Caenorhabditis elegans: one gene and its partner. The protein of the gene in region 2 purifies or fractionates together with the protein of the main gene of each other region. This does not show direct contact. Each region holds a gene or a part of one and is shown on either strand. Other genes may lie near its edges.

Region 1 (17,192 bases), 1.6 Mb from region 2:
TTCAGCTGAATATTCTTCCCAAAATGTCATCGGAATGGGATAATAAGGTAATTTTTCTGTTTACTCACAACTTGCGATAACTTTTAAATTATAAATTGTTTTTAATACCAAAAAATCATTAAACTTTTTTTGAAAATGTTAGACAAAAAATAGAAAATGAATAATCGATATAAAATGTTTTCCAGATAATCCCAGTTATCGGAGTTCCACTTGAAGCACGCAAACTCCCATCTGCGCGAATTCCCAAGAAACCCAAGGAGACCGATGGAAATTCAACTGAAACTGTGGTCAACTCTACTGAGAAGCCTGAAGAAAGGAAGGAAAAACCTCCGAAACCACCAAAGCAAAAACAGAAACAAAAACAAAATCTAAACAACAAGTTTTTGAAAAATTTGTGAGAAAGTCTTTAATTTTTTCATTTTTTATTTTGTTTTTCTCAGAATCACCGATACTGGTAAACCGGCAAGTATGAACGGGCTTTTTGTGGCAGAAGAGGAGGCTAAACTCACTTTACTGGAGAAAAAGGCAATGAAGATCCATATTGAAGAGAATACATTGGTAAGTTTTTTTTTGATTTACTACTTTAAAGTAAAATTAAAAATTCGCTTTAAATGGCAGAATATGGACCTTAATTATCTAATATAACTGTTAAAAAGTTCTATTATTCAAAAAAATTCAATTTTTCAAAATTCAAAAAAATTAGTTGAATGTTTTGAGATTTTCGCGTTTTCTGGCTATATTTATCGATTTTTCTCCATTTTTCTGTAATATTTGACTCAAAACACAGTTTGCCAATTTTTCAAACATTTTTATAATAGAAAAATTATAGCTTTTTTAATGGCAATTTTGAAGTTTTAGCGAAGTTTTATAGTTATTAAGGTTTCTTTACGGAAAGACTTCTGAAAAATAGACGAACTATGTCGCAAATCAAGAGATTAAGATAAACGGAAAAAAACCTTTTTAATATAGACTGAAAGCGCAAAAATATTAAAAACTTGCACAAAAAAAAAGACTAAACATTTTGGTATATTTCATAATTTTTTAAACAGTTTTATTCGATCATTGCTATCCATTTTAAGCCAAATTTGAAAACTCTACCTTAAAATAAACGTTTCTACAGAGTGATCCCCAGTTTCCGACTTATACAACGAAGCATCAAGGCAGAATAAAGTTCAAATGCAGATTGCTATGGCTTCTCAACAAGGAAACATTTATGAAAAGAGCTAATAAACCTCATCTCGCCAATATTGTGGTAAAACAAGCACACATGGAAGCTGTTCCGCCGAAACAGAATGTTAATCAAAAGAAACAGATGAAAAATCAGGAAAAAAACAAAAACGCCAAACCACTGATGGATATCAAATTTGATGAAAAAGCCAGATCATTCAAGCAAAGAACGGGAGAAGATTACAATGGTGGTTTTGATATTTCGTCGAACTATCAAGGTTCGGAAGGATCCGGAGGATATCAACATATCGGAAATACTTGGTAAGTCGTGATTAAAAAACTTTACAAGTTCGGACAACAGGGCTGGGGAAAAAATTACAAAAAAATTTTAGGTGTTGATCTTGGACCAAAAAAATACGAAAATCAAAACATTTAAATTGGTTTAAAAAAACCAAAAAGAAGTAGAGTCTATTAAAGATTTATAGATTTCGAGAAGACTATTAAAAAACCACATTTTTCTTTTTTTAAAAAATTGCAAATTATGAAAAGTGTTTAATGTACTTACTGAAAGTGTTTTTTTGGGATTTTTGTGTCAAAAATTAAAAATTTATCAGCCCTGTTGACAATCGAGCGATTAAAATAAAGAAAGCAATTTTTGAATAAAAAATTATTAATTACAAAATTTCAAAGTATAATTTCAGGCCTAACACCGAGAGTCAATGGAATTACGATCCTTCAACAAATGGATATTCGACTTTCCTTGCATCAACTCCAGACACTTCTACGACTTATCAGCCATATCAACCATCAGAATATGCCAATTTTTCTCGTCAATTGGAATCTTCGTCGAGTTCTGTTCCTGTATATGGTGGAGCTACGGATCCAACACAAACATCAACATCTTCTGTCATTTCGTTTGGTGTTGCAGTGCACGAACCAATATCTGAATCCTCGGCATCTGCTTATGATGATCCAACAAGAAACCATTGGAACCCACAATCTGCCACGAGTGACTATTCAACCGTTCCAACTTCTGGAACTTCCAATGTTTTCCCATCGTACCAGACATCAGAATATTCTTCTTTTCCAAATCAAACTCCATCTTCTTCTTCTTCATATCAACAGTCTTCACAATATACTCCGATGGTTCCAGATTTGATAAATCAAGCAATTAATGGTTACACAACTCCACAATATAATCAACCGAATCAGCAAGTAAATCAAGATTTCAACACGAATCAATTTTCCGCTTCTCTTGCTTCTCTCCATTCACAACCTTTGGAAGCTTCCGAAGATGAACTTTTGAGACAAAAAAGACTTATGGAAATTGAGCAAGAGCTTCATATGATCAACGCGAAGAAAATGCATATGCAAATGGAAGCTGAAATTCGGCATCGAGAAATGGAATTGGCAAAGAGGCAGCAATTGATGGAGCTGAGGGAAAGAGAGCTCAGAGATAGAGAATGTTTCGAGAATGGTAGAACTCATGCGGGTCATACAGGGTACGTTTTTGAAATAATTGAACAAGTCCTTTTTTAATACTATCCCATATTCCTGTTTTTTTTCATATTTTTCTGCCTTCTCTTTTGAAGGATAAGTTGATATGAGAGATTCCACTAAATTCCCAATATATTCGTCTAATTTTTTTGAGATGTAACAATCAATTGATTTTTCTTTGATTATTTAATTGAAATTAACCTTCGATTACGATCACAGTTTTCAACTTTTCATTGTTTCTTTCGAATTCAGAAACATCGGACAGTGACCTCTAGTTCTGAAGTAACTGAATTCGTTCTGGCTAATCATTGAAAGACTCTGAACGAAAATATTTGAAAATGGGAAAATTGTGGCTCAGAATGTTATAATCGATCGTTTGAGATTTCTAATCGCCATCTGTAAAGCTCTGAGATACTCGTTTAGAATTACATCAAGCTTAGGCTTTGTGAAACATTTTGTGTCCATTCACAAAAAAGTTTGAGGAAATATATTTTGTTTTCTACTTTTATTCCCCCTATTCAACCCCCCCCCCCCCCATATCTTGTAGAATTTCAGATTAACTGATATTCTATTATCCCCTCTTTTCAGCCAGCACAACTATGATAATCGAGAATACAGTTCCCATCACGAATCTAAAAATCCATCTGTTGGCGGCAACTATTCTTCGACTTCGCGGTCGATAAGCATCAACGAGGATCCCGCTGCTTCTCACTATTATGGACAACGAGTCGAAAGAAAGAAGAGACTGGGAGGAGAATTAGCGAGACGACAGGGAAGAGTCTACGAAGAAGGTACAGACAAACGATTTCACATGATGACGCGTTTTCTTTCTTGGATTTTCGATTTTTCTCTCTTTCATAATGTTTTTTGGTTATTTTTGCAGTCAGTATTCAAATCGTAACAGAGGGTTTTTCCAAAAATTACGATTAGAACTTCTGACGCTAATAATCTTCAAATTTGACTATTTCTACTCCCCATCATTGGACTTCCACGTAGGCGTCAAAATGCCTGCCTCGCGCCTCAAACCGGTGCCTTCTGCTAAAATACACATGAATTTAATTTTTTCATTTCTCAATTTGATTCACATTAAATTGATTGAAATTACAAAATATAAATTCGTAAAGTAATGTCAGAATGCAGAAAGAGGCGAGAGGCTGGAAGGTTTCAGGCAGGCACCTAGACCTTCAAACCACGCATGCCTACCTACCAAGATGTATAATACCTGTTCGATAATTTAACGATTTTTGAAGCATAAAATCAAAATTTGTTGGTTTTAATTACTGGGCTGAATATACTCATTCCTGATTCAAATAATTCCCAGCTGATTCCCCAAATCTTCTTATTTCAAATATCCTCATACTTTCTATTTTCAGTTTCAAGCCCAGGCCCATTGAAGCGATCGGCTGATCAAAGTAGAGCAGGAAGTATTCAACCAGGTAATCAAACAAAAAACTTTTTTCAATCATAACCTATAGGTCTATAGTTGCAAAAAAATCGAGTTTTGATGCAAAGTTACAGTACCCGGTCTCACGCCTTTCAAGAGTACAGTAGTTCGCCACCCCCAGTTATTTAATACTTTATCTGCCTTTTCATTGACATTGCTCTTAAAATTTCTTTGAAAACAAATATTAAATAAAATAATTTTTAAAAGTATTTGATGTGATCACATCAAAGAAACGAGATAAATAGCAAGGAAAATTCGCAACTACAGTAATCCATAAAAGTTCATAAATGTTTCTGTCGCGCCATGACCGGATCCAGTAATTTCTTATCAAAAATGGCAAAGTGGTAATACACATATTTTTTTCAGCTGAAGGTCCCAGCAGGAAACAACGTCGTCGTAACAACAAAAACGTTCAAGTAACGGTCAATATGGAAGATATCAGTGATGACGAAGAAGTTTGATTCACAATTGGCTGGAAAACTTTGTTTTGTTCGAAATCAATTCAATCGTAGAATCGTTATTGGAAAATCTCGTTCTTTTTTAATTCAATTTAAGTTTTTGAATGAAGTTTTACTCATAACTTCCGTTTAATTTTATTTGTTGTTAATTTTCTAATCGTCAAAATATCGATGAATATATTTATTTCTCATAGTAGTGACCAACATTTCAGTCACTCGAAAAAACAATACTTTCAGGAACACAGAATGTCAGAAACTTGGGAAGCGTTGCGGAAGAAAGCCCGAAGCACAGAAAATTCCATCGATGTCAAGCTCGTCTCCCTGAATAAATTAACGGCTAGCTCTCATGGTAAGTATTACCAAGAATTTTACGATTTTATCCTCAGAAAATACGATACCGGGTCTTGACACGAAACATTTTCATAAAATACAAAAAAGTGTGCGCCTTTGAAGAGTACTGCACTTTCTGAATTGTGTTGATGCGGAAGTTTCAAAAAAAATATATGTATTTATTTGAAAAACCCAAATATTATATATTCTGAAAAAAAAACTTTAAAAAAGAAAAAGAAACTAATGAAAAAACCAAAAAGGGCATTTATAAAGAACATTTTCGTGTCGAGACCGGGTACAGTATTTTTGGCGTTTGAATAACCAACTTTCGAACATGTCTCTCAGAAAAATATTTAATAAACATGTTTCCTATTGAAAAAATATTTCAGGCGGTTTTGACATCGACGAGAAAACAGTTTCCTCAAGACAAACGAGCTTCAAAACAGTGACAACAGAAATCGAAGGATTGATAGAGCAATTGACAAATATCAATGATGATGTTAGTTTATTTTCAATTTTGTTTTTAAATTCGTCAACTTCAGATGAATGACGTAGCTGGTGCTCAATCCTCGGCATCTTGGGCTAATAATCCAGCCATTCAACACACACTTCGACGACATCGAGAAATTCTTCGAGATTACGGTAGTGAGTATCGACGTGCAAGAGATAATGTTGATCAGGTATTACAGAGGTATGAAAAATACTTTTTTTAAATTAAACAATACGATATTATTCAGAGAACTCTTGTTGAGCAGTTCAAATGAAAATCGTAATAATCCTATACTGAACAACAGGGCTCGTGGATATGATATGTATTTGAAGGTATTTTTGGGAAGAATTTCAAGAAAGTAGTACTAATTAATTTAATTTCAGGAGAATGACCATATAAACGCTTGTGATCGATTGTTAGATGAACAGTTAGAAATGGCAATGTCAACGAAAGAGAATATGGCCAGACAGGGAATTAATCTACGTGGAATATCAACTCGGCTTCATCATATTTCAAGTAATTTATCTTTAAAAGGGAAACAATTAAAGTAAATCTAAGTATTTATGAACATTTCTGATAAAAATGTTCCTGAAACACCCGATCTTTTTTGAAATCGTCAATCTAGATTAATTTAGACCTAATAAACTTGAGTTCAAATTTCTTGCAATACAGTTTTTTGACAAAAAATCTTTAAAAAAAAACAACAAAAAATTTATTTGAAATTTGGACCGAAAAACAAAAGTTAGAATTTCTCCAAAAAGCCGAAAAAATTTCAAAAAAAAATTCCTCCTTTCAACTGAGACTCAACATTTTTGAAAAACAGTTTTACAAGCTGCATAATAATTATCAAAACAACTTTTTTTAGAAAAATATCCTGCAATTAACAATTTGATGCAAAAAATCAAAACGAAAAAGCAGAAGAACACACTGATCCTTGCTGCCGTCATCTCATCGTGCCTTATTTTTACAATTTTCTGGATTATCAATTAATCAGTTTCAAATATCAAAAAAAAACTCAAAAACTTTTTCGAACTCCGATTTTCGTATTTTTCGAAGAAATTTAACAATCGGCAGTCGTAACTTTTTATCAAGTTTTCGAGTTGTTATTACTTTGTGTCAATGAAAAATAGAAACTGAATGATAAGAATAATCGATTTTTGTACTATTCCCTTGTCCCTTCATACAACGCACACCACTTTCATTGTGATATTCCTCACCGTTTTTCTAATTTTTACTTGTAAATAATTTTCTCGTTTTGTAATCTTTCGAGTATAATGGAGTTCTTGGCTTTTTCGTTTTTTTCTCGATGTGAAACAATTGGGTATACATATTTATGAATTAAAGTATTATTTAAAGATTTTTTTGAAAGTTTACAGTTGAAAGTTTAATTCTATAACTTTATTTGTTCATTGATTCTGGATGATAAAATTTATTTATCTAGAATTCAGATGACCCTCCGTCCATTTGTGTGTCCATCAATTCTGAATGCCGATCTTGCATCATTGGCTTCTGAATGCAAGAAACTTTTAGCAGCTGGAGCAGATTGGTAAGGTGATCTTTAGAAATTCTGAATAGTTTTGACAACTACTTTCATATTTAAATGTCCCTTTAGATTTCAAAAATCTAAATGGGAACGCACAAAAACCTCTTCTGAAATCAACATGGAAACGTACTCCACGGCCAATTGGAAACGCTCCGACCCCCCGAGATTACGGTCTCGTTAGGTATTTGGCCACAAAATCGCAAATTGAAATTGTTTTCATCTTCAAACACAAATTGGCAGGACTAATTGAAAACGCTTAAACTATCAATGTCAATACCTAATGAGACCCATGGTTCGAGGGGCGGAGCGTTTTCATTTAGCAGTAAGTAAGTAACGTTTCCACTTGGATTTTCAAAGGATTTACTTTCTGCGTTCCCATAGTATCCAGCTCCCAACTTGCAGGCTTCACCTCGACGTGATGGACGGTCACTTTGTACCAAACCTCACATTCGGTCACCCTGTCGTTGAATCTCTTCGTAAATCTCTTGGTGCTGAACCATTCTTCGATGTTCATTTGATGGTCTCTAATCCTGGACAGTGGGTTGAACCGATGGCAAAAGCTGGTGCCAGCCAGTTCACATTCCATTATGAGGCTGTAGATGGTGATGTGGCAGTCAGTGAATTGATCGAAAAAATCAGAAAAAGTGGAATGAAAGTGGGATTATCGGTCAAACCGGGAACTTCTGTTGAGCATATTTTGAAGTAAAATCAAAATTATATTTCAATCTAGATTTTAAATTAAAAAACTTTTTAGACATGCTAATCATTTGGATAATGCTCTTATCATGACTGTGGAACCAGGATTTGGAGGACAAAAGTTCATGGAAAACATGATGGAAAAGGTATTTATTTTGGTTTTTATTTGATACGAATAAAATTTATGGCTTTCAGGTTCGCACAATCCGTTCAAAATATCCAAATCTGACTATTCAAGTTGACGGAGGAGTAACACCTGAAAATATTGAAATCTCTGCTCAAGCTGGAGCCAATGCGATCGTGAGTGGAACTGGAATCATCAAAGCTGCAGATCAATCTGTCGCCATGACAACAATCAGAAATGCAGTTGAAGCTGCTATTTCGAAGTGCTGATTTTCTTAATTACTTGAATATTGTTTTGAATTTTGAAGCTCATTTTTTCAGAGCTTTTTGAGGTTGTGATGTTAATAGTTAGTAAATGATTGTCAATTAAAAAATTCAAAGCAGCATTTATTTATCTATAAAGTTCAGATGGGCTCTGCAGTTCCTAGCTTCGGGGTCGGAGCAGGTGTCTGAAAAAAGAGCATTACAAAACATCATGGACCATTCTTCAGTTGCTTACATTTTTAACACTTTCCTTCTCCTTGCTCGGAGTCTTCTTATCCTGATTTGATGGCAATACTCCAGTACTTCCAATTGTATCTTTACTCGGAGTCTTTCGTGGTTCGATATTTCCTGCCTCTTGGCTCATTGCAGTATTCAACGACGGCTCCTTGCTTCTTCCTCCAGCATTTGCAGTCTTTGTAGATTGCTTCGGAGTCAACATGATCTCACGAGACGGCTGCTTACGATTCGGAATTGGAGGAGGAGAACGTGGCAATGTCTTTTTCTGAAAAATTGGTTGTACTTTTGCTCAAGATCTTGGAGTACTACAAAAGCTAAAAAATATTTCGAAAAATAAAAAACGAACCAGATCAGTCTCACTCTCCTTTGGTGTCTTCTGTAAGCTGAGCATGGCCGATTTTGGAGCAGGCTGAAAATTGATTGAAATGAATGAAAACACTCGAGTGAACATACAAACCTCTTCAATAGTTCCAAGTGTCATAGTCTTCGATTTACGAGTATCTTCATCTGAAAATTGATTTCGATTATTTGCAAGAAATAGACAGACACTTCACCAGTCCCTTTCCTTCTGCCTACCTAATACTTACTTCACACCTGCCTGCGTACGTGTCCACCTCATCCCTACATCTTACGGCTTTGCCGACTTGCACAACCCCCCTCAATACCTACTCCCTGTCTATCTGACCACCAGGGCAACCAAGTTGCTGGTTGCCGAAAATTGGAGCGTATGGCAACTAAACAATAACCGAGTTCTGATTCTTACCTCCCATCGTGTCATAAACACGTTCAATATCAGATGGTGGAAATGTGACATCTTCTGGATATCGATTATCTTTTTTTCCTGGTTTTGTTTCCTCTGAAATAATGAATTTTGGAGAGACAGATACAGAGAAAGACATACGTTTTTGTCCATTTGTCGAGTAGTTCACATTGACAGAACCCAAATGATTAGGATGACAGATTTGTTTGCAGATTTCGATTGGAAGGAGAATTTGCAACGCCTGAAACTAGTAAAATTAAATAACTTTTTATGAAAACTTTTCTATCATAATTTGGGGCATTGACCAAAACCAATTTTTTCTAAAAATAACCTTATCGAATGTTTATTTTTGTATCGGAACATTATAGAAGTTCGAAACTACAGTTTATTCGTTAGTTTTTCATCATTTGACTTGAGAGTCGTGATAGTACTTCAGAGACTCTTCGGATATCTACAGTAACCTACAAGTGTATTGTATGTGTGAATATAATGTTTTGTAGAAGTATCCAAAAGAGAGGTGTTCAATTCACAACTATCGAAAAGGGCAATTTCTGAAGAGTTGAACTTGCCTCGTCAATCAAATCGATGATTGCATTATCCAAATCCTGTATCGTACTCCATAGTTGAAATGCGTTGAAAACCGAGTAAATGGTACTCAACAACGCGATGAAGCAAAGTGCAGAAGCTACAATCCATAATCCAAGTGCCAGTTTATTATAATGAAAATATTCACACTGGTGTTGCTTGAGTAAGTTATCGATCGTTGTTGTCTGAAAATCCGATTAACATGAGAACTGCTAATGAGGTTCCCAGCCACGATGCAACTAGATTCCACTTCAAATTAAACGTGTCAAGTATTAAGAAACCATCGGTGCATGAGAATGTCTACTTTCTGGCGCGAAAATGGCGGCAGGAGAGATTCTTCGGATATCTAGAGTAATCTAATTGTAAGAACATGCGGCGATGAGAATTTAGGTACCTTCGCTACGAGATATTCCCGCGCCAAAACGGTAGGCATTCTCATGATCTCATGGTCTCTTAATAATTTCTCTTATTTTCTTCTGTGGCATTTTTGAGTCCTAGACTCTTTCAAGTACTATATGTGTCCCCATTCACTCCACCTTTAAGATTCACAAGATTGAAAGTTTCACAACTTACCGAAATTATTGCAGTTGTAACATTTGAAGAATTGTTCATTTTTGAATAAAATGAAGCAGTCACTTCGAGGAATGAAACACTAAATGTGAAACACTACATGGCCAGAGAAAATTTGACCTTTCAAAAGATAAATATTTATACGTGAATTTTGTTTTAATTTTTTGCATATAAATCAAAACATTCATTTATTAAGTAAAAATATATAATTTGTAGGTTAAAAAAACAACAAACAAAAGTTAAAAAAGGGGCTCATTCATATCAAATCCATCATCATAGTGATCAAATTTGAGATCAGCTCCAAAATCTTCATCATCGTAATCTACGAATTCGCTGTCGTCTCGCTGGAAAAACGATTTTTAACCGGTGACTTTAGAGCCTATATTAATGTAATGTAACTCAAGCTGCATTACTGCTATCCTGTTTCTACCGTAACACTCACCGTAAACTACTAAATAGATTCATTTAAAGTAATGATGTTTTTGATACATATTTTTAACGGGATAGTCAGAGTGTCTTCGTTTTTGAAAGTATTTTTATACAGAAATAAAACTAGGAAATGCTAGTGACGTTAAATTTCCAAAACCTTGTATAGTATATTTGTATAGTGACCAGTATCATAATATTATTTGTACCAATCAACGAATAAATTGTTAAAATAACTACGATCATACCTCAACCATCTCCAACCATTGTGCATTGTGCCATTTGAATCTCTCTCCAGCTATCCGTTTTGCCCATTCTTTTGAATGTTCACCCATTATCAAAAGGGCATTATCGCAAACTTCTCGAACCACTGCGTTTGCATCGTGCATCAAATCGATCATATGGGCTCCGAGAGCTGAATCTTGAGTCATCAGGCGAGCAGATAGTTCCTTTGAAAAATTTATATGAGAGTTGAAAAAACTCTAAAACGTTATACCTTGTGCTTTAAAAATTGCAAGAAAACGTAGAGAAGTTGCACAACAAACTCATCATCAATTTGGCATGCTGAAAAAAAGATTGCGATATTTTTCAGTAATTTATTTGTATTCTCGATACACCCAAAAAAGATCAAAATGACACCAGTAAAACACTTCAAAAACGTTAGATTTTAAAAAAGATTTAGCTGAAGATTTGTTAATTTGCCAATTACTTCCAAAAATATGTACTTTTTGAGTAATTTTGAACATTTTTACATGTTCGATTTCCTAGAATGTTCAAATACAATTGAAACACAACTAGTTTCAATAATTTCCATTTTGTAATTTACCAACTGGCAAAGCTCCACCTTTAAATCTGATTGTGAGGAAAAATGAACTTTTATGTTTTCAAAAGTTACTGGGGTTTTATTATGAAACAAACTCTTAAAAAATAACTTAAATTTATGAACGTACATTGTAATAACTGCACAAATGTATCAATCAAAGGAGCCAATAACCTAGCTGCATCCAATTGCCTAGCCATTGTTCCACAAGCAATTACAATTTGTAGTTGGAGAGGTTTTATGTCTCGAAGTACTGTCACTTCTTCGGATTCATCAATTCCTTCTTGAAGTTGAGTTTTCATCCAAGGAACAAGATTTTCAGATTGAATTATTCTATAATTTAAGTTTTTGATTGGAATTCCGAACTCAAAAAGCTCACTTTGCCCACGGAGCAACTTTGAGCTCAGCAACTGTACCCATGCATTCTAAACCAAATGAAGATTTTGACTCTGAGTTGTCTGCTCCTTCATTTTTTGCAATCCCGATAAGAGTTTCAATCCACTTCTGAAAATTCTAAATTTAAATAACAACGTTCATTTTTTTTCGTTATCTATTTTCACCGTTCAATAATAATTCAGTTCTCAACTTACCAAAAACATATTCTGCGTCGCACCTTCGTGACTTGAAATCGCTCGAACAACCTTTATGAGCATTAGATCTCTCGAGTTGATAGACATTTCCATAAGAAGATCTAATCCTTGACCACGTTGTCCACATACCAACTGAGCATTTCGTTTTTCGAGGCAAATATTCAACAGGACTGCTTTTGTCACTTCACTTCCTGTTCCACTTAGCACATCTTTCATTAGCTGGAAAAATGTTTTTTTATGAATCATATCCTCGTAGCAAACGTTGGAAAAATCGGTGACTATTTGCTATGTGGCGTTATATTTAGGTTTAACAAAACATAGACCCGAGGTAAGTAGATTTTGTCTGAATTGCTATTTCAATAATGTTCAAACAATTTCAAAAAAAACAATTGATTCACAAATAAAGTAGCTCAAACGACAACCACTATTCGAATGCAAACTTGAAAATAATATCAAAAAATTTGAAAAGTTTTAGTATAGGATTGGTTTTTAACAATTTTCCACTTGCGTTTTTCCATCTTTAATGTATAGTAACTTTTCGACTATCTCCTTTGATTGACCCAACTCACCAATTTAATAGCATCGGTGTATGCTAACATTGCTTTTGCATCATCATTACAACTTAATAAATACATCATATTCAATGCCTTCGTGTCACTGTCCAATAGAGATGCCATATGTGGTACAAGACCTCCATTCACCATTTTTGGTAGATTTTTGGAGTCAAATGAAAAATTGAAAAGAAGCATTATAACTGCTTTTCGCAGTTCTGGATCTTGAATTGGAAATAGTTTCAAAAGTTTTTCGATTGTTCCATTTTGTTCCATTACAATCTTATTTTCATCAAAAATACTTAATTTAAGAAGAAACTTGATAGTTGCAGTTGTTAGTGAACTTGTAGATTCTGATGACATTTGGAGGCATCTAGAAATGTAAAATGAGTGAATGTGGTGTTAATTATTAAAGGTGGAGAGATTAAAAAAAACTGTGAAAAGTGTTACTATGATATTTCAGCATTTTACAATTTCCTCACTAACTGCGCCTTTAAACTCACTTGACAAGAAGTGCCACCAAATTTCTTCGGACCATTTTCAATTCGACACTGATATCCGTGGCTAGATTGGTAAGAAAAGTGACACATGCTGGAATTGAACCATTTTCAATGTAATATGTACAATTGCAACAAACCTGCCAATAGCATCGCCTGTTTTCGAATGGCTGTTTTTAGTTTTCTCAATGTCTCTTGATCCGTCTTTTTCATCTCAGCAATCCAAAAATCGTACCGTTTTGTTTCATGTTCCATTGCATTTACACATAAAGTACCAATCTGCAAATCTAGCTTTTAAACGAAATTCAGGTGAAGTGAAGGCGTTTAGAAACCATGCATGCCTTGTGATGAAGCAGAATTCCGTGTAAACATGAAAACTTGGAAATATTCACAAAAAGGTTCATAATATTGGTTCCAACTTCAAAGTGTTTCTTCCAGTCTTCTCGGAATACTCTTGCCAGTGCCATCATAAGAGTTTCTGAAATGTAGTGTTATTTGAACGTTAACTTTAATACATAGATTACGTCCGAAAATTATGGTCATCGGGTAAGCTTTTCTAGAATTACCTACCATTGTTCACAAGCTGTGTGAGGTTTTGAGGATTTTTTGAAAGTTCATAAAGTGCCACGGCTCCTTTGTTTTTCTCAACAGAAGTTTCACCGTAGAAGCATTCTATGTACTCCTGAAAGATACATTTTTAATTTCAAAAGTAGTTTTTCAAGTTCTATTTGGTTTTAGGCTCTCACCATAATAAGAAATCTGTTTTTATATAAATGTTGAATGATGTATAGAAAACCATTCAAAGATTATTTTAAACTAATCAGATTATTTTCGAAATAAATTTTTAGATTCTAAAATATTGGTACTACCGGATACAAAAGCACTCAAGCGAGCTTGGTTTTGTTTCAGCTGCTCCATTTTAGAACATGTAACAATTAATGTTTTCAATTTTGATATAGCCTATGCGTATTTGTAAAATAAAACCAAATGCTCCTCAACTTTACGTAATCTACAAAATGTTTTCTTATAAAACGTACATCTATTTTCCCTAATTCTGCACTAATTGTAGGACTATGAATAGGCCTTCGATCAAATGAAACGGCCGAAGAACTTCTTGATCTCGCACTTATTCGTTGATTTCCTCTTTTTTGAATGTAGAACAAAACCTGCTCCAATTGACTTCGTGACGTGGCAGGAATGAAAAGACATTTTTGAAGAATAACATTTGATAAAGCACGAATATCTACATCCAGACTCATTTCTTTCAAGTGGATTCTGTAATACAATTTGGGTAATTTTGTAGCCGTACAATGTTAGATGCAGGTGACATTTTGAGGTTCTCATATATATATATATTCGATTATTATTTTTTATCAGTTATTTTCCAATATTCTAAAAATTAAAGAGGCATGGATTCATGGGGAATGGGTCTCACAGCGAGCAAAATGCTCAAGTCAACACTTTTTGCTATTTTCGGTCGTGCGTTTTCTGTTATTCGGGGTTTTGTGAGCAATTATTAAATAACTTTTCTGTATCTTGATTGTGGTTTTTGCAACAGAAAAAATTTAAAGTGTTACCATAAACATTTTTCGCGGTGAGACCCATCCGAAAGAATACGTGCACCTTCGTGGGCATACGGTCTTAAAAATATTTTATTTTATTTTTCTTGTTAAGCAGATTTGCATTCCAGTTTAATTTTATATTTTATATCAGATTCTTACATTTTTTGATGGCCAAGAGACTCAACGTTCGCTGAAGAAGCTCGCTTTTTTATTGAAATTCCTGCTGAAGAACCTGAATCAAACTTCCAAATAATCTTCGTAACACATTCAATTGAAAATAAAAATATAAAACTTACTAGGAGATTGTTCAAATCGTACAATAATTGCCTGATCTGACGGGTGTGCATCTATTGAAACTTGATTCATTGAGCTAAACACGGAAAATCAATCGAAAAAACTCAAAAAATATTTCTCTTCATTCTGATTACCTATTATAGCTTACTGAAGAGCCGGGGCGGAGCATTTCTGAATAACTGACAAACGACAGAAATCGATGAGACGGCTCGAGGAGCACTAGTCGTGGGGGATGTCTGTTCGTCTCGCACGCTCTCCTTGGAGACGTTGCACTCGTTGTAATAAGAAATATTGCTTACACGCTTGTACCAGTGTTCTATTTTATTTGTTCGGAAAACTTTAATGAATTAAATCGACAAATGGGGGTTTTAACAATATAAAATTGAGAAACGAAGAGTACGGGATGGACGAATGAATGGAGGAAGGAAAGGAGTGGAGATTGATTGACATCATAAACATTTGTTTTAAATATTTAGACCATTTAGAGAAGTAAAATTTGATACTGTTTTAAGAGATAAGTTTAGCAAAAAAAATTAAAATTTGGAATTTAAAAACGAATAAAATGGGGATTGTTTTGATGAAAAATTGAGCCAGCAATTGGTGAGGAGTCATTAGCTCTAAATGGTCCACAGAGATAAAGAGGAAGGGATGTTGACAACGAAAGCTTGAATTGAGAGGAGATTCGCCGGGACCACAGCATCTTCTCGTGCCAGCCTAGATCATAATGAATCGAATTTAAACTTTTTCGAAACTATGTTTAAAATCAAAATTAATGTACACAACTTTTTGAAGCCGATTTACGAGAGATGGCCGAGGCCTCTTGGGGCGTGAACAACAAAGAAAAGGTTAGGTATTTACAGATGATAGATAAATCGACTGATGATTACTTCTTGGCACCCTTCTTTGGTTGCGCAGCCGGTGCGTTTCGTGGTGGGGTGACTGGTCTATTTGAACCAACTCCTCCAGCACCATATGGATATTTCTTCTTGTCTGCTGGTTTCAAGATCTGAAAAAAATATTCCGAATTGTTTTATTTTAATGTTTGATAGGTAGTTTTAGCGTTTAATAAATCACCTCAGACAAATGCCTCAATTTCACCCCGCTTAGCGGCAATTTCTTCGAAGAACTCGAATAGATAGCCAAAATAGACTCGTCTGATTTAACCATTGCATCATTGGTGAATGCATACGCATTATCAGTATTTAAAATTATATAGATGGTACCGCTATGTTTACCTGGAAAGAGCACATCAGTGTTTCATCGACAGTCATCATCGATCCCGCGTTATCAAACTCTCCACAATAATTAGGAGCGCTGAACAATGTAACCAACTGCCGCTTAGCGAAGAATTCGTAACCGTCTTCCACAACCTGAAAATTTCTCGGTTCGCAACTTTGCAGAAAATCTTAAGTAATACCTGGTGAGCTCTGCAAATCAAATCCAAATCGTGCTTGTGCAGGAATTTGGCAACAACTTCTGGTCCGAAAGTGAAAGAGACGCCTCGGTCGTTTTCTCCCCAGCCAGTGACATCCTGAAAATAAATGGTAATCATTCATTGAATTTTATGTTCACAAACGAACTTTATCAGGATCTGACCACAACAGATCGCACAACAATCCTTGATCTGGTACGTCTGTCGGCCTCATGATACGACGAATTTGCTCCATAGACTGAAGATCTGGAGAAAGTCCTCCGTGACAGCAGAAGATCTTTTCGTCGATGATGGCGGCAACTGGCAGGCAGTTAAAGCAATCGGTGAACGTCTTCCACAGTTTGATGTTGTATCGCCGCTTGCCTAAAAACATGAGATTTGAATAAATCTGTACTAAGATAATCTCAGATCAAACTCTTACACTCGTCATAGAAGCCATAAATTCTGTTGATCGAGGCACACTCGTGGTTTCCTCGGAGCAGGAAGAAATTTTCCGGGTACTTGATTTTATATGCAAGTAGGAGACAGATAGTTTCCAACGATTGTTTCCCTCGGTCCACATAATCGCCGAGGAACAAGTAGTTCGACTCTGGGGGGAATCCACCATACTCGAACAGTCTCAAAAGATCGTAGTATTGTCCGTGCACGTCACCTGAAAAATATATTTTCTCAGAATATATATTATCAAAAATAAAAACGGCAATTTCCTGTGGAAGGAAATACTAATAAGTAAAATGACTCATAGCAGGAAACGTCAACTTTTTTCGATAGAACTTACCGCAAATTTTCAACGGAGCTTCCAACTCGAGAAGAATAGGTTGGCTCAGAAAAATTTCACGAGACTTCTGGCACAACC
Region 2 (13,053 bases):
GCAGTTTTGATTCCAAAACTTGAAATCATGATTCCATTAGTCGGAGTTACAAGTGGTGCCCTGTGTGCTTTAATTTTCCCACCATTCTTCGAAATGATCACCTTCTGGACCGATTGGAAGGTAAATATGAATACAATTTAAAAATCTTACTAAATTAAAAAAAAATTCCAGGGACTTCTGACATATCGTCAACGTATGACAAAGATCTTCATCAACCTCGTCGTCATGGCTATTGGAGTATTTGCCATTATCGCCGGAGTCTACACAAATATTCATGCAATTATCCAATCATTCTCTCAACCGGATCCTTAAATCTGTTGACATATCAGTTTTCATACCATTCATCCCGGTTGTCACACTTTTCAACATTTTCTCACTTTTTTCGATCATTCCATCACCTCGAATTCTATCCTAACACCGGTACATAGTTTTCTTCTCGCTTTTTCTCATTTTTCCATGTTTTATTTTATGTACATTTCGAACTTTTCCCATTTTCTCATTTTCCCTCCCCCGCACCCAACATACACTAGTCACTTTGTCCCCCCAACGAACTGGTTAGTTATTTTTTATTGCATTTATAATTATATTAGTATATTTTATTTCCTGTTGAATTCCATGAAAATGTCTATTGTTTGATGAACTCGTCGAAACGACTTTTGAACGTCTTGAATAGGTTACTGTAGACTTCCACGTTGGCAGAAATAGGTTGGCAGGCAAGTGATACATTGTCACATGGATAATATTGGGAATATGTTTTCGTAGTTTTAGAGTGTACTGAAATTTTAGATTGGAATATATTAAATATTACTTTCAACTTACCATATCTAGATCTCATAGCTCCACCAAGAGCTGCTGAACCATCAACATCAATTGTGCAGACTGGCATTTCAAAGACATCAGACAAAATTTGTAATAAAACTGTATTACGAGATGCTCCTCCAGTTACCAAAATTCGACTACAATCGGATTTCTTAAATCCCATTTTTTGAGTGTAAAGAAGTTTAAAAAGACATTGACTTTCAAATACTGCTCGCGCAAATTTCTGAAAAAAAGTTTGAAATTCTTTAAGAACTATAAATGAAAAAGATAAACCTCTGGATGTTTATTTTTCAATTCTTCCTCAGAACACTCAAAAGTATAATCTCCTTTTGGTTTTCTGGGTACAATCTCATCTTCATCGAAGAAAAAACCAATATAATTATCATTTCCAGCTGGAGTTTTCTTCATTATTTTATCCCATTTGTCCCACGAACTATTGTTCAGGTTACGAGCTCTTTCTCGGGTTAGTGAGCCGTTTTTGAAACTGTAATTATGTATATTTTTTAAAAAAACTGGTTAGGGAACAGTCCGAGATATTTTACTCGGGCGAAGTGGAATAACCTCGGCATTCGGAGGCAACTTTCTGCCATCAATTTGGCAACTTATTTTAGTGGCACTAAATAAGTTGTCAAGTTGCTAACGTGTGGCAGAAAGTTGCCTCCAAATGCCGAGACCATCTGAGTTTTGCACTACATTGATTTTTTCAGTGATCTTAATAATTCCAGGATTCAAAAAAAATCTATAACCTATAATTTGAACTTACCAAACCATTGCCATATAACCACTGTTTGGAGCAAAATGTGAGAAGACGTGAGCATCAATATTTGGCTCAAAAGTTGGTGTGAAAAAGAAGACGGTGTCACTTGTACCAAGAGAAATTCCTATATCCGTTGGAAGTAGAGATAACCCTGCCAGGGAAGCTGAAATTATGGATAATTGCTTTTTTCATTATATCTATAGATATCGGCCTGAAACGTCTATAGATATCGGTCTAGGCTTAACGGACAGTAGGCATAAAGCACTGATCTACTGAAAATTCAACTCACAAGGATTATCCCCGAGAAACGGTAGAACTGTACAATCCGATGGAATCCCAAATCTACGAGTCCAATAAGAATGAACATGTCCCTACAAAATATTTGTTTTTGAATTTTTCAATAAACATTTCACTTACAGTAGAAGTCATTGGATGTACAAGTGTTCCAAGTTTAGATTCAAGATCTGACGATATAAAATCAAAAAGTGGTTTGTGCCAGTTTTCGGTCTGAAATTTCAAGTTTCAAATTTCAAATTTGGAAAACAAAAATTAAAAACCTTAATATTCATAAGGTTCATTCCACTTCCATCAGTCAATTCAATTAGTGCATATTTTCCAATTAGAAGGGATGCGAAGAATGATGATATCAAGGATACTTTCTGAAATTTCAAAAATTGAATTTGAAATGTTGATCTATATAACTTAAATGCCACAAACTCACTTCCGTATCCTTCCAAACGTCTTGTTTCTCGTCCACAATTTTCTTAATCTGAGCTGCACTGAATCTATGATGAGCTCTACTTCCAGTTAGTTTAGCCATTTCTTGATCCCCTCCGACAAACGTTTCCAGTTCCTGGCATTGTTTTTCAGTGCTTGAATCCATCCAAATCGGGCTTTTTTGTACAGAAAAACACATCTGCAAGAAATAGAGTGGAGAGAGAAGGAAAACAAAAATATAACTATTCATAATTAGCATTATTTACTTTTTTATAAAACAGTTAATTTTTTATTTCTTATTTTTAATTGAATAACTTAAAGGTATACTTACCTCCAATTGTTCAGCTAAACTCCTGCTCTCATCCAGACCCTTCAGGCTGTTCTCTGCTCCATTCTTCCAATATACAGTACCATGTTGTTGTGCACATCCTGATATTCCTCTCAGTTTATCTGTCCATCCATTTTCTCTAAGATCATTGAATAAAATATCAATGGCTTCAATCCACATGATTACAGGTGAAGTGATAACAGACCCGTTTTTATGTACACCATTTTCTGTTCTGAAATTCTAGTATTTAGTCTTAATCTCCATCAGATTCTTCAAACCCAAATTTTTTCAGTTTCTCGTGAGTTGAAAAATTGATTGCTGTAGTATGAACTACTTTTCCATTTTGATCAATTATTACTGCTTTTATCTGAAATTTTGAAGGTTTACTGTAAAAGTAGCAGTTGTAACAAACCTGTTGTGTGCTCAGATCAATGCCTAGAAATCCATCTTTCATAGTTCCAAAAGCTTTAGACTCTGTAAAAATCGATTTTCAAATAGATCAAGTATCAATTTTGGTATCATTGAAACAAAAATCGTATAGACAATACAAACACTGTGACGTATGTCTCTCTTTGAAGAACATCTGAACTTTGATACATCGGATCAAATATTATTTTATTGATGCTCAATGAGCAAATGGCTTCAATTCATAATATATGTATAAGAATGCACGTTTTCCTTAAATGTTTGATTTCTTTAAAAATGGTTGTGGATTCCATTTTGAAATTCAAAGCGAAAGTGTAGTTAAACTACATATTTGAAGCCATATTCAAGGAGATTTCAGAGGAAAGTACATTTAGATTAGGAGATTTAGAACTTTCAAAATAGATTTTATTCGAGGAATTGGGAGATTAAGAACATGATCAAAGAAAAAAACATTTTCTCACCAAGTTATGATTTCAAAAGTTATGCGACGATAACCTAATTACATGAAAATTCACAAAAACCTTTTTTTTCACGATTTTAGAAATGCCTTATTTTTATGTAATTTTTTTCGAATAGGTTTATTGAAATGCCAACAAATTATACGGAAAAGTGGGTGATTTGTAATGAAAAAAATAAGTAAATTTTTATGCGATTCATGCGTGTTCTGTAGGCGGGCAGGTAGGCATATTTTCGCCTATGTGGAAAATTAGATACGAACTAACAATTTGGCCATTAGTTGCAATTTTATGAGAGTGTTAGGCCTGTTCTATTTATCTTCTTCATATTATGAAAAAAATCAATTATAATTGAATGCTTATTGGATTTTCCAATCACAGAAATCATTTTAAATTCACAAATTGTGAAAAATGCTAGGCTACATTGTAAACCTAATTTGTCACAGTTTCCATGAAAGCACAGAGTTTCGAACTTTCCGTAGTGTACACTTTATCTTTTGTCTCCTTTGCAACCAAAAAAGTCTCGTTGGGAGTTGTGTGTTAAACTTTAAAAAAAAATTGACATTTTTTTAAAATTTGAAATAAAACTATTTTCAAGGCACGTGTGCCTGGCTGTGTTTCAATGTACAATTATTATAAGTCTATGAAAAACTTGTCTAAGCTCCCCAAAAACTTTGAGTTAGACTGTATATCCGTGCATTTTACTCATTTCTCTGGTTTTCTGAATCTTTCCTGCAGAGCCACTAAATCTACAGTAATCATCTACATAACACTTGACGCAACTCATCTCCACTTCCTCTTTTCAACCGCGCCCTAACAAACAAATGTAACCTTTGAAACTTGCCGAGTTTTTTGTCTTTTCAACATGCTCTCAAATGTTTCCAATCACTAACCATGTAGCTCAATGTTCGTTTTGTCTGACAGCTGTGTCCACACACGTACATCCATCTACTCCTTCCTTGTTCCTTGTCAAACTCAGTTTTAGCTCGTTTTTAGTGCATCCCCTCGTTATTACATACAAGTGACAAAATCAGATTTATGAATTATGAAACTCAAATTGGAAAATATCACACTATTTTTAGAAAATTGTATTGCATACGGAGAGTATAGTCTTGAAAATGTTCACTAAAGAAACCGCCTATTCTCTGAATATTTGTGTAAGCATTTCTATTGAAGCTGAACATTTGAAAGTTTCGTATTTTTAATTTTGGCTAAAAATTCACCCTAGAAACATTAGAACGTAGGCGCAGGTAGGTGTATTGTGCTTTGAAGGTACAGAGGAAGGTTTAGCGTAGTTTTTCTTTAAATATAAGATTTTTTTGAAAAGTTCCTTACAAAGTTCCAAAGATATGTTCCAGAATCAAAAGAAGATGAGACTTTTGATTTACTTTTTTTGGAATTTCAGAAGTAGTTATAAGATTATGTCGATTTACAAACGAATTTCGTACATTTGAAGCCGCATAGCTTGAATCGATAGACATAGACTCTGCCGTATACACAATTCGTGTTTTACCGTATATCTTCTATTAATATGGCCTCCCTATTAGACTTGCACTCCCTATTAGTGTTGCACTCCCTAATAGTCTTGCGTTTACTTCTTTGGTGCAAACCCTCTTTAGTAATTTTAAGATTTTTATAACACTTATTGCTTATTTTGCAACAGTTTTTCACAACAGTTCTACGAGATTAAATGTTTTTGAACTTATATGTTACAATTAAAATCAAGTTTTCTGAATTTTCACATAAGATTCGAGCTTTTTCAAAAAAAAACTAGCAAGCTCAAAGTCAGAAAAATGTTCTGAAAATTAGTATTGCACTCCCTAATAGTCTTGCACTCCCTATTAGTATTGCAAGCGGGAAGACCATCGAAAAATAGTATTGCAGCCATATTAATAGAAGAAATACGGTAATAGAATTACTTGACTTAAAGTCATTCACTCGTTAATGAAAAGTATGCCGTACATACTACATTTTCTATTTTTGGCATCAACGTGTAACCAAAGATACCGTCTGATTTCTGTTTTAATTGTGAAAGTAAATGTCTATTCCCTAAGCAAAGTTTCGTATACAAATGTTCACGAAATTTTCAAATATATGGATGCTGTCAAAACTCATCAAAATTTAAAATGGAGTCTAGTCATATGTCAGAAAACTAGTTGCGTGTCAAATATCCTATCCCGCTCTATCAAACACAAAATTATAAAATTATGAAATCCTGATGTGCTTTTTGTCTTAAAATTTTCAATTCAGTAGTGCTACTGAGGCCATAAAAAAAGAACTACTAATAGTCCAAAATGGCCGAAAATAATAAAAGTTTTAATATTTGAAAAATAATTTTGCATATCTGAACAAGGGAAATCAATTATTTACAACAATTGGCAGTTTTGGCAATTTTTAAACCTAGCTATATTTTGAAAATTTAAAAAAAACTGTATTTGTTTTTAGTACGCAGATATTATGCTTGAAAGGTGAGAATCTTTCAATAAAATTTACCTTTTGGTAATTGCTGAAAGTGCTAAATTTTAAAAAAATTTCCAATTCAGCAATTTCCAAATTATCGAATTAAAAAATTCAATTCTCTGATTAAAAAATTAAAATTCTCTAAATTTACAACAACAAAAATTAGCATTTTTTTCTCAGTTTTTGAGTTTTTTGTTTCAAAAATCAAACTTTTGCGAACTTGATAATTGTCAAATTGCCGAGTTGCCAAAAGTTTTGAAATTCGGCAATATTTGTTTTTAAAAAAATATTTTTTTTGGTCATCGACTTCCAAAATTATGAGCCTGATCCCCTTCTAAAATCAAGATATCTATATCAAGACAAGTACCAGTCGATGCCAATACTAATTTGTCGTTTCCTATTGCTCTTTCCATTTCTTGATGCTCTTCATCTTTTTTTCGTCTCACCTCTCTTTTTTTTTCCATCTCTCTTATATGCTCATCTTCGTCCCCTTTCTTCGTTTCCGTCTCCCGTGTGTCGTCTACCACAAATGGGCTCAATCATGCATCGTGTTGTCTTTTCACTTGTTTATCGATTCCTCTTGTGCCCCCCGTTTTCCACCCGTTTTTTCTACTCTCTGCCCCCACGACGGTTGCCCCGCCCACTAAGTATGTTTTTCGTTTCTTTTTTTGCATTCATTTCTCATTTTTCCATCATGCCTCCGTCCGGTAATCTATCTGCGTCTACCTATTTTTCAGCCACGCATTTTCTTTTTTTTTTGAGAATGCAATTTTCTCTCCACGCTACTGAAAATAACGTAATGTTCCCGCTAAAAAAATCATGCTAACTTTAAAACTTCAAAACTACTTATACCTAGATCGTTTTACCATTTTTCCCTAGTAACACTTCAGAAAGTACACAGAAAATAAGCCTCTTAACTGGCGATGTTTTTTTAATAATAGACATAGTCTGGCATTTATCTTTAATTATTTTTAGTTTTCCATTAAAAGATAATACTTCTAATCCTATCGGAATAATAATAAAAAATCACATAAATCTTGTGTGGCTTCATCTTGTAAGCACACAATGGGTATGACGAACTGTTAGAAATACCAAGAAGGGATTAGGAAAACGAAAAAAAGTTGGAATTCATACCTTGGCGAACATTATTACTTTTTATGAAGTTTGGTGGTTTTGAATCTTAGTTTTTAAAAGCTCACCACATTGGCAAGCTTTAAGTATTCTCCGCTAGAAAATTGTTTCAAATAATTTTAAACTTTAATGGCAAAGTTGCAAAAATTTATTGCAGCTTTATGAACAACTTAAGATTTAAAAAATTATGATTTTTGTCATACTCTGTTTATTAGAAAGTTGGAATCTATTTTCCGGTGTGAGAACTTGATCGCATAAAACAATTTGTGCGAAATTCGTCACAAAAATCAAACGTAGTTGGAAATTGTTCAATATAGCGCTAGTTCAAGGCTAACAGGTGATTTTTCTATGAAAATAATTTTTTTTCACTTTCTTCCATAGTTTCAGTAGTAAAATCTTGTAATGTTGAAGAGATTTCACTATTTTTACGGAATAGAGCTTTAAAAAAATTGTTTTTGACCGTTTTATTATTGTCATTGAAAATATCAATTTACGATAATTCGTTAATTGTTTTCAATTACAGTCATTAAGAGACAATTACTCAGTTTTTAAATACTTATTATAATTTCGGAGATTGATCAAAAAAATCTTTGAATTGTCTAACTTTTTGGAAATTTGGTAATTTACCAACTGACTGAAAAAGTTTAAAAATCTCAAAATTGAAATTTTTTGGACTGTACATACACTTAGACTGAATCCATAGAGTAGAAAAATACTACTGTAGCCCATCTCTACCAAAATGTAAATTTCCGCGATGAAGTTTGTGCTTCTGTGTGCAAACAATCAAATGTAACCTATAAATGCAACATGTTCGGAGGTACGTCATTGAGCGCAAAGATTTTTTTTTTTGAAAAACAATCATAGTTTCTAACAATTGATGAAAGGCTAGTTTCTGATTTCCTATGTGAATCTGGCGCCACGTGGTTTGGTTCTATAGCGTATTATTATATTATTTCTCGTTCAATAGATATCAGATTACACTTTTCCCCCCATTTAGTTCATCACCTATAATAAATCCTCACAATTGAAGAAGTTATTCGTGGGAGACATTGGATAATAAAAAATGAATGGGAGAAAAATTCAAAATAAAAAAGAAAGAAGAAAATAATGAAAAGAGTGAATGATGAGAGAGAGATGGGGATAGAAAGAGAGAAATTGATACAATGTGATAAGATAAGTGACGCGTTCGGTTTATCATCACCGCGCGTTTCGAAGACGGGAGACGTGAGGTTTACTACAGAACTTCTTCTTCTTCTTCTTGTCACGTTGAAGTTCCGTGTTTCATTCGACGGATGCAGTTTCTGATCTCTTTTCGTCTCGTTTTTCTCTGAAGTTAAATTGGAGTATACTTGAGCCTTAATGTTTTGTTAATCAAAGACGATTTCATTATATGTAACAAATTTCCCCCGTAAATCGACAAAGTTCTCTGGCCGAGGTTTCCGCTCTTCTTTTCACAACTGTTTATTTTTTGAAATCGAAGTACATTGCGCTCCAAAGCCAACTGTAACGCTCCGCCTCTATAATTTGGGTCTCATTAGGTATTGTCGGCTCAGTAAAAATGATTTCAGTGTAATCAATTTGTAAATACAAATTTGAACAAATAACTTCAATAAAGAACAATTCTTCGAAAACAGTGAGAACAATTTGAAATTGCGGTATACCTAACGAGACCCAACACTTGGGGGCGGAGTTTTTTATTTGGCGTTAGCGCACGATTGCTTCATCTTCTTGTTATTTTCATGAATATCTATTTGCCTATTCTCACCACTTCAGAAAACATTCGTATTATTGTTTGTTGTTTTGAATAACATGTCAGTAGTATTAACGAGAAAAAACACGCGAATAATATGCTTAAAAAGCGAAGATGAATCGAACATCTTCTCCTCACTGTTTTTCGTTTTTCTCTCTCTAAACACTAATCGGCTCACCACCGTCGACGTTGTCGTCAGTCAAAAAAAAGAAGCGATTCTTCATCCGATTCGAAAAACAAGTAGTCGTCGTCCTCGTCCATCAATTTCTTCTTTTTTTCGCACCTTCCTTCCGGTCTTCTTGGCGCCATCACTTATCAGTTCTCTTTCCATATTTCACAATGTCATGTGCTTTTCGTTGCTTTCCATTTACTCGAAAGACTTTTTCTTGATTAGAATTCGATATTACACGATTCTTCAAAATCTGAATTCGAATCGTTTTACACTCAATGCGAGATATTTGACGCGCATTTACCGTATTCGGAGAAACTTTTCGTCATTATTTCTAAATAAATAAAGTAAGATATTTGATAATAATAGAGATAAAATAGACACCAGACACCATTTGAGAAGAAAAACACACCATCCCAGTGATTTATGGTTATCAACATGCATTTATTTAATAATTGCTGATTGTGCCGACGGTTTCAAGAAACATTTATTGTTTTATTTTCTTGAGTTTTTGCCAGAAATATTTGAAAAAAAAACATGTAAATTTACATTTTATTAATAATTGTTCACAAGGAAACTGTAAATTTGAATTTCCGCCAAAATAGGTCCGCAATGCCCATTGCGTACAACACACATAATAGACGACAACTTTTTGTTTCTGGAATTTTCGAATTATTTTTTTTCGAGTATTTATATCTTTTTTTATGAGTTTTTTCCTGATTTCTCCGAGAATTTTGTTTCTATTTACAATATTGAGCTTTTGTTCTCTTTGAAGTTACAAACGGACGGCTGTTCGGTCGATGAAATCTGAAATTACCGTAATCGCAGACAAACTTTAACCAACTGCCGTTGTGTTGTCTACTGAACTTTCCCGTTCTCTTGTCTCGCGCCTCCATTTTTTCTTTATCTCACATTTTTCAATGTACTACTCCCCTGTTTCATCATCATGAACTCACAATTCATTAGAAATTTTTTCAAAAAATGAGGATAATGTTTCAAAAGATAACCTCATCCGTTCATTTCGCGTCTCTGTTCATCTTCTCTAACCGTCTAACATCCCTCCTGTCCCATACGTGCTCTTTCTCATTTCCCGCGTCTTCGTCAGCTGGCAACCAGCCAAAACGCATTTATTCATCATTTGTGTTTCTCTCTTCACCCTCCACCATTCCGCCTACGTTTCTTCCCATTTTTTCTCTATTTTCTCACTCTTTTTTTTGCGTTTTCTTCTATTTCCTCATTGAACTTGTTGTTTCTTCACTCTTTTTTCGTTCTCGTCGTCACTTTGTTCGGCTCTCGCAATCGTTTCCGACGTATTTTGACAGTGCAGCAGCAGAAGAAGAAGCAACCTAAGTCGGCAAAAGAATGAAAAACAAACAAAAAACTAGCCTTTCCTGTACACGCCCAGTTTCTCCCTCCTTCTCTGCTCCTTTCGTGACGTCAATTTTTGATCTCTCTTTAAAATTGAGATATTTCAATTTTTCCAAATCTTAAAATCAAAAAATTCTCAATTTCTTTCTGTTCTTTCTGTTCTGTGTGTGTTTTTTCTCTATTTTCTCATCAAACTAAGTGCATTTTGTTGACCAGATTGTTCCCGCCCCCCTTCTCTACCACTTTATTTCTGTGTGTCTTCTCGGAGGGAGTATTCAGTGTATTCGCAACAAGCATCCAAAAATGAAAGGTTTCTCATGTTGTGTGTGTATGTGTTATCAGCTGATTATTTCGTTTTAGTGATAGTGTGTGTATATGTGAAATTATTCGCGCTGCCCTCAATACTTGTCTCTCGTTTTATTTTTAAAAATTAGACTTTTTGTTTTTGAAAATAAGTCGTGCCCTATTGCAAAATAATACTTGTCACTTTTGAAGTGAATTAAGTTTTTTGAAACTATGAAATCTGAGTTCAGTGATCTGAAATTTCAGTTTCGATAGTCTAAAAATATCAAAGAATTATCGTGTTCTCCGTAGCTATCGTGTGTTTCGTATTCAATTCATGCGTAAGAGACTTGAATTTTTAGCGAGAAAATTCCGAAATTCGAGTCGCCAATGCCCGATGCTCACGTCACGATGAGCTTTTCGACGATGTCTCCTTTTTCTTTTCATATTTTATAACAGGTCAGAGGCTACTGATCTTTCCACCTTTTCAACTATCAAACTTTGACTTTCAATAAATCCACAGTTTTACCCACGTGTAGTCTATGTTTGTCCTCCTCACGTCATAGGATCATCTGGCGCAAGGAATGACACCCTCTAACACTGTCACTTTTTACGGTCTCGATTCTTTCGCGAAGAAACCGTTGGTTCCATTGATAGTTGGTCATTTGGAATGAGAAAAAAAGTAAAATCGCGTGCGCACATACCTCTTTTGTCTGACACTCTCACTATCTCTCTTATCATTGCCTCATCCTCAAGTCATCATCATATCGCATGTGATTCCCTCTTAAAGAAACTGAATGGATTTTAGATACTGCACCTCATTTTGTGCATTTTTCTTTGGCTCTTTCTTGGTCCTTGACAAGAAGTCATGTATGTTGTTTTCGATGGTCAGGTTATTTTTCATTTTGAAAAAAAAAACGGTTTTTTTGAATAAATAAACCGGAATGACCGTGTGCACTTGTTCTGAGAGAAGGCATTTTCCGTCTTGTGACAAAACACAGAAAACAGGTGACCGTGGGAATCGTGTCTCTGGTTTCCTTGAAGAAAAGAAAGAGAGGGTGGTCTGGACCTTTATGAGATCAGAAATACACTGAAATTATTATAATCTGTAGACTCAATGGAATTTCTAGTCATTCATATCCCATCTTTAATGCATTTAATTTATATTTTTCTTCTCTCATAAAGGCTTCGATCCTATTAGTTATCAACGCCACGCCCACTTCTCGAACCACCCTGTCTCTATTTCTCTCGATTCACTCTCTCTCTCGACCTTCAGTTAATCGGAAATGAGAGAAAGGTGTTCTTATTCTCACGAAAATGAGATATTTCTCACACCACAAAAGGCCCACCCCCTTATCACTTGTGTTATATCTGTTTCCCCTCTCCTCATGCGAAGACAACACACACACACGTCGACCTCATCTCGAATTCTGTCACTTTTTGGTAGCATCGATATGTTGGACGCTACTGAATTCCTAATGCCGGTCGTGTCGTGACGGTGTCATTCATTTTTAAAAGGCTTCGCTTCTCTTGGCTAGCACAAAAAATGGTGCATGGCACAAGGCGTCGTGGAACATTCAGGAAACTCCCCCCCTCCCGAACGACACCTTATTTATTACCCAGAGCCACTTTTTTACATCGGGGTGTCCTTTTCGTATTTCTGAGCAACTACACTAGGTGTAGTCGTTGAGCAACAACGCCCACGTGCCTGCTCAGGGCAATTTTCTAAATTTAATTTATGTTTCTCCATACTACTAGATATCCCAATCACCTGCTCACCATGTTTGTGTTGTTCTCATTTTTAACTTGCTTATCTGCTTAGCTGAGCACAAAAGTTTTTTTTTTGAGTTTTTTAATCATAGAGAAATATTTTTCACTGTGAAATACGCAGACTGGTCAAAATTGTCGAGATAATACAAAAGGAAGACAAATGTTTGGCATAAAGTAAATGTTTTTATAGACTGAAAATTCCAGAAAAAACCGAAGAATCTGCGTCAAAATTAATAAAAATCGAAGTGCGGCACGGAAAAATGGGCGGTGTTTCGAGACAAGAGCGCGGTAATTCAAATGTCAATTGGAGATTTTTTTCGATTTTCGGTTACAGTAACCCGGCATTTAAGATCAGTCTGAGTAATTTAAGTGCTTGTTTGATAGAATTATTTTCAAATTATTCTAAATTCTTCACTTCTTCTTCTTCTTTTCATTATTTTATTCATCCTCTTCTTGACACAACACACACTTTGAACGGAAGAAGAAGACTCTAGAGAGAGAGAGAGAGAAAGAGAGAAAAAGGAAGAAGCGCCGATGTCGCCGATCCAATTACTTTTCAATGTCTGCATCTCTTCACTCTCTCTCTTCATTTTTTCGCGCACTCTCCTCTCGTTTCCCCGC

The links.
Region 1: the proteins of R08D7.7 (region 2) and F08F8.7 fractionate together in Caenorhabditis elegans (co-fractionation; one large-scale study listed by BioGRID). This does not show direct contact.

Annotation. Positions count from the first base shown.
Region 1 is NC_003281.10:7,336,785-7,353,976, reverse strand, and holds F08F8.7 (Ribulose-phosphate 3-epimerase), read left to right. Parts: upstream 1-6,827; 5' UTR 6,828-6,834; coding exon 6,835-6,932; intron 6,933-7,331; coding exon 7,332-7,631; intron 7,632-7,683; coding exon 7,684-7,771; intron 7,772-7,820; coding exon 7,821-8,018; 3' UTR 8,019-8,122; downstream 8,123-17,192. Other genes in the region: F08F8.9 (uncharacterized protein), read left to right, coding at 24-47, 186-394, 441-558, 1,121-1,488, 1,869-2,669, 3,253-3,455, 4,038-4,100, 4,475-4,569; gos-28 (Golgi SNAP receptor complex member 1), read left to right, coding at 4,813-4,915, 5,286-5,395, 5,439-5,587, 5,634-5,718, 5,770-5,902, 6,252-6,376; F08F8.6 (uncharacterized protein), read right to left, coding at 8,153-8,197, 8,248-8,514, 8,596-8,658, 8,707-8,756, 9,013-9,105, 9,151-9,250, 9,579-9,779, 10,168-10,206; kap-1 (Kinesin-associated protein), read right to left, coding at 10,404-10,508, 10,839-11,039, 11,087-11,154, 11,541-11,743, 11,790-11,914, 12,001-12,219, 12,570-12,924, 13,055-13,142 and 6 more; gsp-2 (Serine/threonine-protein phosphatase PP1-beta), read right to left, coding at 15,788-15,910, 16,140-16,274, 16,322-16,435, 16,485-16,699, 16,758-16,988, 17,115-17,192.
Region 2 is NC_003281.10:8,982,247-8,995,299, reverse strand, and holds R08D7.7 (putative sugar kinase R08D7.7), read right to left. Parts: upstream 3,096-13,053; 5' UTR 3,076-3,095; coding exon 3,034-3,075; intron 2,989-3,033; coding exon 2,900-2,988; intron 2,854-2,899; coding exon 2,625-2,853; intron 2,493-2,624; coding exon 2,298-2,492; intron 2,236-2,297; coding exon 2,134-2,235; intron 2,084-2,133; coding exon 1,994-2,083; intron 1,948-1,993; coding exon 1,866-1,947; intron 1,740-1,865; coding exon 1,583-1,739; intron 1,304-1,582; coding exon 1,093-1,303; intron 1,043-1,092; coding exon 820-1,042; intron 775-819; coding exon 626-774; 3' UTR 554-625; downstream 1-553. Other genes in the region: putative amino acid transporter skat-1, read left to right, coding at 1-120, 172-312.